2 linked regions of the Arabidopsis thaliana genome follow. The protein of the gene in region 2 interacts with the protein of the main gene of each other region in a biochemical or structural test. Each region holds a gene or a part of one and is shown on either strand. Other genes may lie near its edges.

Region 1 (3,933 bases), on a different chromosome or scaffold from region 2:
TTAGTTTTTTCTCTTTTTATATATACTTTTCTTTCTCTAAAAATTGATGTTTAATGTTTTAAAAAGCAAAATTAAGTTTATTGAATTAAATAACATGCAAAACTTTACATACATATATATATGGATAATGAGAACTGACTTATATATAGATAATTAAAGTTTATTTATGAATTCAATCAATTATAAATATATATAACTAATATATAAACTTTAATTATCTATATAATTAAAATTTTGCATGTAATTATATTAATTATCTATATACTTATATATATATATATACACTTATATATATTTGATTCTTCACCAAATACAGTACAGGTTAGTGAACTTTAATGGGATCAAATAGAAGATTTCTGAATCTGTTAGTACTAAGGCCCATCCCAAGAATGAGCCTTCCAAGCCCAATACACTGATTACTTCTTTTGTTCACATACACTGTACATACTAATTAAAAACAAAAAACAGTCCACAACAAAAACAAAAAAACAGTCCACAACAAAAAGTCATATCCCAAAAGGCACAAAGATCTTTAGTTTGGTTTAAGCTCATCCCGAGTTCAAACGAATTAAACGTACTCTAATCTAGATTAGCTCATCACGACATTTTCAATTTGAAGTTTCAACCTTTTATACGTCTGACCAGAAACACAATAAAGAAGCCTCACGCGTAGCATTTTTTTTTAACCAGAAAACCATGAGACAAATTCAACCTAATCAGATAACTGTAAATCATTTCATTCATCCTATTAAAAGCAAAGGTGAAAAGCTTTTTGTACCTCCACGACTCCCACTTAAGAGAAACATTTTGTAGAGCTTTCAAGTCACGCGTAGCAAACACACCTGGTAAGTGGTCAATCTTTTTATATCATATAGCCATCATAAGAGTATCATTAATAGTAGTTTCTTAGCATAATCTTAATAGTTCTTATGAATATTTTTATAATTGATTTTGAAAATTTTGAAGTTAAGAATTTAGTTAAGAGATTGAAATTTTGGCAATATGCAATGGTGGACTCTTAACTTGAGTTCTTAAAAAAAAAATTGGAAAAAAAGTAGAAACATTATAATTTTAAAAAACTTAATAATTATTACAACTCAAAAAATTTGAAACATACATAACATAAAATTTTAAACAAATATGACAAACAATTAGATTTAATACTTAATTTATCTAAGAATTAAGATTAATTGAATTAAAACATTATATTTAATACCTAATTTATCTAAGAATTAACCTAAGAAACATTAGATTTGGCTCTTATATAAGAGTCATTTTTAACAATTAATTGAATTATAACATTAAATTTAAGACCTACTTTATCTAAGAACTAACCTTATAAACTATGAATAATGATGGTCTAAGCGCGCTTGTTGTTGAAACTCTCAAATAAACCGGATAATTTTAAAACCAGGTTTAGTTTAGTTGGTAGATTCGGCTCAAATAGTAGTATTTTTGTGGATTTAAAGATGCTCAGCATGTATATACATATGTGTTCTATAGATGTTTTACACATTTTTTCTATTTTACTATTCTGCTTGCCATAATCATTAGATTGTTTGGTTGAACCGAAGCATAGAAACCAAACCGAACATAGCACACAGCAACAAAACCGGAATCATTCAGAGGTAAATAATTTTTTTACATTACCCGCAACTGCAAGGAAAGAGGAAAAAAAAAAAGACGCAAACTTTGAGAAAGACATCCTCATCGTTTTCTGTCCATCGAAGCTCTTTTTTTTTTTTTTTTTTTTTATCTTCGTATTCAATTCTTGAGAGGAGAGAGAGAGAGAGAAGCATCCCAGAAAACGACATTCTGTTCATATGGAGTTTTTTCACCAGATCGAGAGCACGAAGAAGATGATTACTGGGTTTTGATTTAGTCGGCGAAAAATCCGTAATCTCATTGTTCGTGATCTCTGGGTTGTTTTTCTGGATTGCTGGTGCGGCTGATTCTAGTCAGGATTGTTTTTGGGGTCCCTTTCGCTCTATTTGAATCTGCGTCTGGGTTGTTAAGATTGTACAAGGGGTTTCGTGGTTATTTATGGAACCTCGTGTGGGGAACAAGTTTCGTCTCGGCCGAAAGATCGGTAGTGGTTCGTTTGGAGAGATCTATCTCGGTTCGTCTCTCTCTCACTTTCTAGTTTTTAATTTTATGGATTATCGAATTCGTCACATTATCTCTAACATTGTTGTTAACCTGTGATTTTCCAGGTACTAATATTCATACGAATGAAGAACTGGCTATTAAGCTTGTGAGTTCTTCAGTCATCCCATTTTAATAATTTGATGATCAAAAAGTTTATGGATTTATAAGTAACATTATCACAATATGTTTAGTTTGATCAAGTTCAGTATGTTGAAAAGCTGAGATTTTGATTCTCTTTGTTTTTGTTTTCCCAGGAAAATGTGAAGACAAAACATCCACAGCTGCTCTATGAATCGAAGTTATACAGGATTCTACAAGGGGGAAGTAATGATTCTTATCTTCTGAATGAGATATTGATTTCTGATAATGTAAAGTTTGTGTTACTTATGACCTTTCTTTTGCCTTAACTTTGGTAGCTGGTGTTCCAAATGTCAAATGGTTTGGTGTTGAAGGGGACTATAATGTTTTGGTGATGGATCTACTCGGACCAAGTCTTGAAGATCTCTTCAATTTTTGTAGCAGGAAACTTTCATTGAAGTCTGTCCTCATGCTTGCTGATCAAATGGTATACTTCTTCATGTGACGCCTTTCTTTCATTTGCTCCTCTATGTTTCAGGAAATATTGACTTCTTTCTTCCTTTGGTTTTTGTGATAAGATCAACCGTGTTGAGTTTTTTCATTCAAAGTCTTTCCTTCACCGAGATCTTAAGCCAGACAACTTCCTCATGGGCCTTGGAAGGCGTGCGAACCAGGTTTATCATCTTATTGTCTTAACTATATCCTTTTGGTCTTATTTTACTTTTGGAGACATCATTGTATTGACCAAGTTTAATCCTTCTCTAAGGTATACATCATTGACTTTGGTCTTGCTAAGAAGTATAGGGATAGTACAACACATCAGCACATTCCCTACAGGTGAGGCGATCATTGTATCAGCTCTTGAATGTTCTTCCCTTGAGCATGATTCCGTTGTTATGTGATGACTGGAAACGCTAATTTTTCCCATGATTCTCATTTGCAGGGAAAATAAAAACCTGACAGGAACTGCGAGATATGCTAGTATGAACACTCACTTGGGAATTGGTAAGCTCGACAAGACCTGCTTCATGTTAATTTGTTCCAGTCACTCTCCTTATGTGTTTGAGTTATAAGGTTTGATACTCATCAGCTGTTATTTGTTTTCTGGCATTGCGAACCTGAAGAACAAAGTCGAAGGGATGATCTTGAGTCTCTTGGTTACATCCTTATGTATTTCCTCAAAGGAAGGTGAGTTTATGCTACATGCCTCACACTCTCTTCACTTTATTTCCCTAACTTCTTCAGTTTGATTGATGTGTGGAATATCTCTGTTTTAGTCTTCCATGGCAAGGACTGAAAGCTGGAACCAAAAAGCAAAAGTATGAAAGGATTAGTGAAAAGAAAGTTTCTACATCCATTGAGGTAAGTTCATTTCACAAGTATGCTACATTTTTACTCAGATTTTTGTTTCCCTCATTCTGATTCGTATATGATCGCCTTACACCTGCAGGCTTTATGTCGTGGTTACCCATCCGAATTTGCATCCTATTTCCACTACTGTCGGTCGCTTCGGTTTGATGATAAACCAGATTACGCTTATCTGAAAAGAATATTTCGAGATCTCTTTATCCGTGAAGGTTTGATATTTCCTTCCCTCTCAATTTTTAAGCCTAATATATTTTCTAACAAGATTTCATTTCCCTGTTGCAGGGTTTCAGTTTGATTACGTGTTTGACTGGACAATCTTGAAATATCAACAATCACAAC
Region 2 (3,933 bases):
CCTTATAGTCAGAGGAGAATTCTCACAACAAACTCAAAAACTATACCAAATGATAGAGCATAAAATTAAAGAAACCCATATTTATAAAACAAAATATATATAAACTAAAAAGAGTGAATTACATTTTTATATATGGGTACAATACACACAAACGTTTCACTAAAATTACAACGGGATATATATTTATTTATATATATAGCCACTGCAAATCCACATTCGGATTGAGTGCATTAAAAACATATAATAACACATAGTAACAATTTTACACCCGAAAAATTGCATAAATTAAAGACTCACCCAAACATTAAAAAAAATATTACATATATAATGATATGATTATAGATATCTTGGAAAATTAAAAATACTTTCCCAAAATATAAAAAATGAAGGAAATAAAGAAGAAGAAAAAACCGTGAAGTTTTCTTTTGTTCGTCGTCTCAAACTTAGGGAGATGAATAATTTCATCGTTCATCAGGTACACGATCGGTCCATGAAACCCGGAAAACCCAGTTAGAGACTGTCTTCTTCCTCAAACTCTTGAGCCTTTCATGGCTGCTTCTTGATATCATTCGTCCACAGTCTGTGGATTCTACGAAAGTTTTGAGCCTCTTCAAGGCCAAATCGAGTGTGTCCTCGCTCATATTAGCGAAACAAACCCTAAACCAACCCGGTTCGGTGCAGTGACATGAAGAACCGGGTGATATGTTTAGTTTCACGTTGTAAACAATCTTTTTCCAGAGGTCAAGCTCTGCTTCAAATGTGTTTGTGTCCAAAAGGTGTCTCATGTCGACCCAACAGAACAAACCCGCGTTGCTTCTCAGGCAAGTAATCCCTGCAGACTCAAGACCAGACACGAGGCGTCTCTGTCTGGACTTGAGTCGTTTCTGGTTCTCTTCGAGGTATTGGCTAGTGAACTTCTTGTCGGAGAGCAATGCAGAGAGAAGGTATTGTGTCTGAGAAGAAACAAGACCAAAACTTGACATTTTTGTAGCTGCTGAAACGATCATTTCGTCGTTGGAGTAGATCGCTCCCACACGGAAACCAGGAAGTCCCAGATCTTTAGAAAGGCTATAAACGACGTGGACTCGTTTTGAAACCTCCGTGTCTTCGAGTTTCTTGTCTTTCAAGACATCCATTACGCTTATGAACTGTTCAAACCCGAACATAGTGCCTGAATAGATCTCGTCGCTAATGAGATGAATGTTCTTGGAAGTGATGAAGTCAACGAGAAGGTTAAGTTCACGTCTGGTCAACGCAGTGCCAAGTGGGTTAGATGGATTCGTGACAAGAACTCCTTTGACTTTGAGATCAAGTTTCTGGGCTTGTTGGTAAGCTTGTTGCAGAGCTGATTCCGTGATTTGGAAGCCATTAGAGCTTGAGCAGTGAATGGGTACTATCTCTGCTCCGGTTCTCCATTTAAGATCTCTATCAAATCTGTAATCATAAAAAAGCCTAGACGTAAGCATATATTTCTATTGGGTTTACTTGGAATCCAAGTAAAGAGGAGAAGTGTAATTTACCCAGGATAGTAAGGAGTAGGCAAAAGGAAAGCATCGCCAGGCTCTGCAAGGCAAAACATGAGAGTCTCATTCGCAGATGTCGAACCAGCCGCTAAAACAATCTTTTTTGGATCGAACGTGACACGGTTTCCTCTTATCTCTTCCATAAACTCAGCCATAGCCTGTAAAAAATGACAGAAAATGTTCATGAGAAATGGATTCATTACTTGTGATACACGTCAGGTTACTCTCTTTATTGAATTTGAGAAAAATGAAAGAAGCTTACTTTTTTGAATTCAGGCATGCCATGATAGTCTTGAAATAGAGCAAGCTCTCTGAAAATGGATTGACCGTTCCTCTTGAGACTTGCCGCGTCTGGGTTCTTAGTTAACCATGACTCGATTAGATCGAAACATAGCTGGTTTTCGGCTAGACCCATCTGGATCATCCCATTAGGGTTCTTGATCTCATCATAAGGATTCTTCTCGTACTCTTCCCATCCCAAGAAGTAGGATGAGTCTTGTCCATGACCATTGCTTGTCACTTTTGTCGAAAGCTGTTTCATTCTCTGTTTTTAAAGTCAAGAGATTTTGGTCGTAGAGAAGACTAATGTGGGTGAAGGAGAGAACGAAAAGAAGAGATCTTGAATTAGGGTTTAAGTTGGTGAAGAGTGAGATGTGGTTGGAGAAGCAATGGGTCTGTTGGGATATATATATATATAGATAATAATAATCTAACGACATTTAATTTCAAAAATAAAATGTGACAACAGAATCAGAAACTAGAGAGACTTTTTTGACCGTCCAGACATTACCATAGTTTTTAGTAAATATTCTCCAAGACATGTGAGACAACTTCTTTTATTATTTAATGCGATCTCCAATAATTAACAAGCTATATTATTTAATACAAAATAAACAATTAAAACATTGCAGTAGTTCTTGTTTCTTTTTGAAAATAAGAATGATCTATTATTGAGTTTCTATTTATTATTGCATTCACACATACAGCAATAAATCTTAGGATTATGTTTAAATAAAAATAAAAAAACCAGCTCTACATAGGGACAAAATTAAATAACACATTTTGAGCTTCTTTCCAAAATTTATTTGATCGTTTTCTAGGATTCAAGCATATTTAATAATAATTCTACAAATTAATAGTACTAAAATGATTAGTCTTTACGCGTTTCCGTCACCGCCGGACCGTCCTTATTATGACCATCATTTAGGGACCAAACATAGCAATTTAAAAAGAAACCTCAAATGTAATTAACTTTTTGTTGTTGTTGTATAAACTGAATCACTATGCTTATGATTAGTTTAGTCGTCCATTCACGATGTCAGCTACAAAATTGGCTGTGTGAAGTTGGATAGAAAAAAGAACCAACATTAATTTATATTCTACTTCTTGTCCAATACTAATGCCAAATAATTACTATTTATAGACTGCTAAAATTTTATATGTCGTATAATGTGAGTATTTTGCTGAAAAAAACTGTGAGCATTTTATGTAACTTTAGTTATCAGATTCTGTAATTAAGTGTCAACACGTTGACTTAGAAAATATTAACAAAATAAAATAGGGTGGTAAACGTAAAATTGGAAAACAAGGAAATGACATACAAGAAAAATGAACAGAGACAAGTGGAGCTAGGGGAGTCAAATGTAATGTCATACCGACATCAAATCGTCTAAAGTAATCCTGTATACCTATGCATCTACGTATGTATACATTTATACGGCTAAAATACATTTATTTATACGGTAGAGGGTAAGTCAAATAGGACCATTTATGCTCCCTAAACTCTAGTAGTCCCAAATGTCTTGGTCCGCAATTTTTTTTCGTTTTCTCTTCCTCTATCATTGACAACAACTTATTTATTTGGTGGGATCGGATACATACAAATATGTTTTTTACTGACTAGGATGTTTTCAGTCTTGTAATTATCGACAGGTTAACCGGAGTTGTAATTAGTTTTTTTTTTTTTTTGGTTAAAGGGTTTTGGAGTTAGTTTCATGTGAATTATGCGGTATTCACTGACGTAGACTGATCTCCAATACCAATAGAATAAATGATGATAGTTTAGCATAATTGTGTTGGTCCGCAGTTTATGTAAAAATAAATGTTGAGTCAGATATTGTTGCAGATATATTGATATAGTTACTTTGATCATGGGTGAAATAATGAGTTTGGATGGTTATCATAATAAAAACATAAACACAAATTTTTTGTAGAATACAATTTTCCTACTAGTTGAATTGAGCTTTAGTTGTATATATCTTCATCCTGTTTTTTTTTTTAAAATGTATACAAATCAAAGAAATAAACATATTGTTTATTATATAAACTCGAAACTTTATTTAAAATAAGCTACTAGTAGAATGCACAAATATTTCTTGAAACATGAGATTTTCAAAATAAAAATCATAAA

Evidence for each region.
Region 1: of the proteins of ACS5 (region 2) and CK1, one has a biochemical effect on the other in vitro, tested with the Arabidopsis thaliana proteins (one study listed by BioGRID).

Annotation. Positions count from the first base shown.
Region 1 is NC_003075.7:13,228,619-13,232,551, reverse strand, and holds the start of CK1 (casein kinase 1), read left to right. Parts: upstream 1-1,754; 5' UTR 1,755-2,043; coding exon 2,044-2,119; intron 2,120-2,213; coding exon 2,214-2,254; intron 2,255-2,402; coding exon 2,403-2,472; intron 2,473-2,564; coding exon 2,565-2,713; intron 2,714-2,804; coding exon 2,805-2,900; intron 2,901-2,992; coding exon 2,993-3,063; intron 3,064-3,169; coding exon 3,170-3,231; intron 3,232-3,350; coding exon 3,351-3,414; intron 3,415-3,503; coding exon 3,504-3,588; intron 3,589-3,676; coding exon 3,677-3,803; intron 3,804-3,876; coding exon 3,877-3,933. UniProt on the Arabidopsis thaliana protein: Casein kinases are operationally defined by their preferential utilization of acidic proteins such as caseins as substrates. It can phosphorylate a large number of proteins.
Region 2 is NC_003076.8:26,330,635-26,334,567, forward strand, and holds ACS5 (ACC synthase 5), read right to left. Parts: upstream 2,179-3,933; 5' UTR 2,065-2,178; coding exon 1,786-2,064; intron 1,682-1,785; coding exon 1,521-1,681; intron 1,435-1,520; coding exon 462-1,434; 3' UTR 112-461; downstream 1-111. UniProt on the Arabidopsis thaliana protein: 1-aminocyclopropane-1-carboxylate synthase (ACS) enzymes catalyze the conversion of S-adenosyl-L-methionine (SAM) into 1-aminocyclopropane-1-carboxylate (ACC), a direct precursor of ethylene.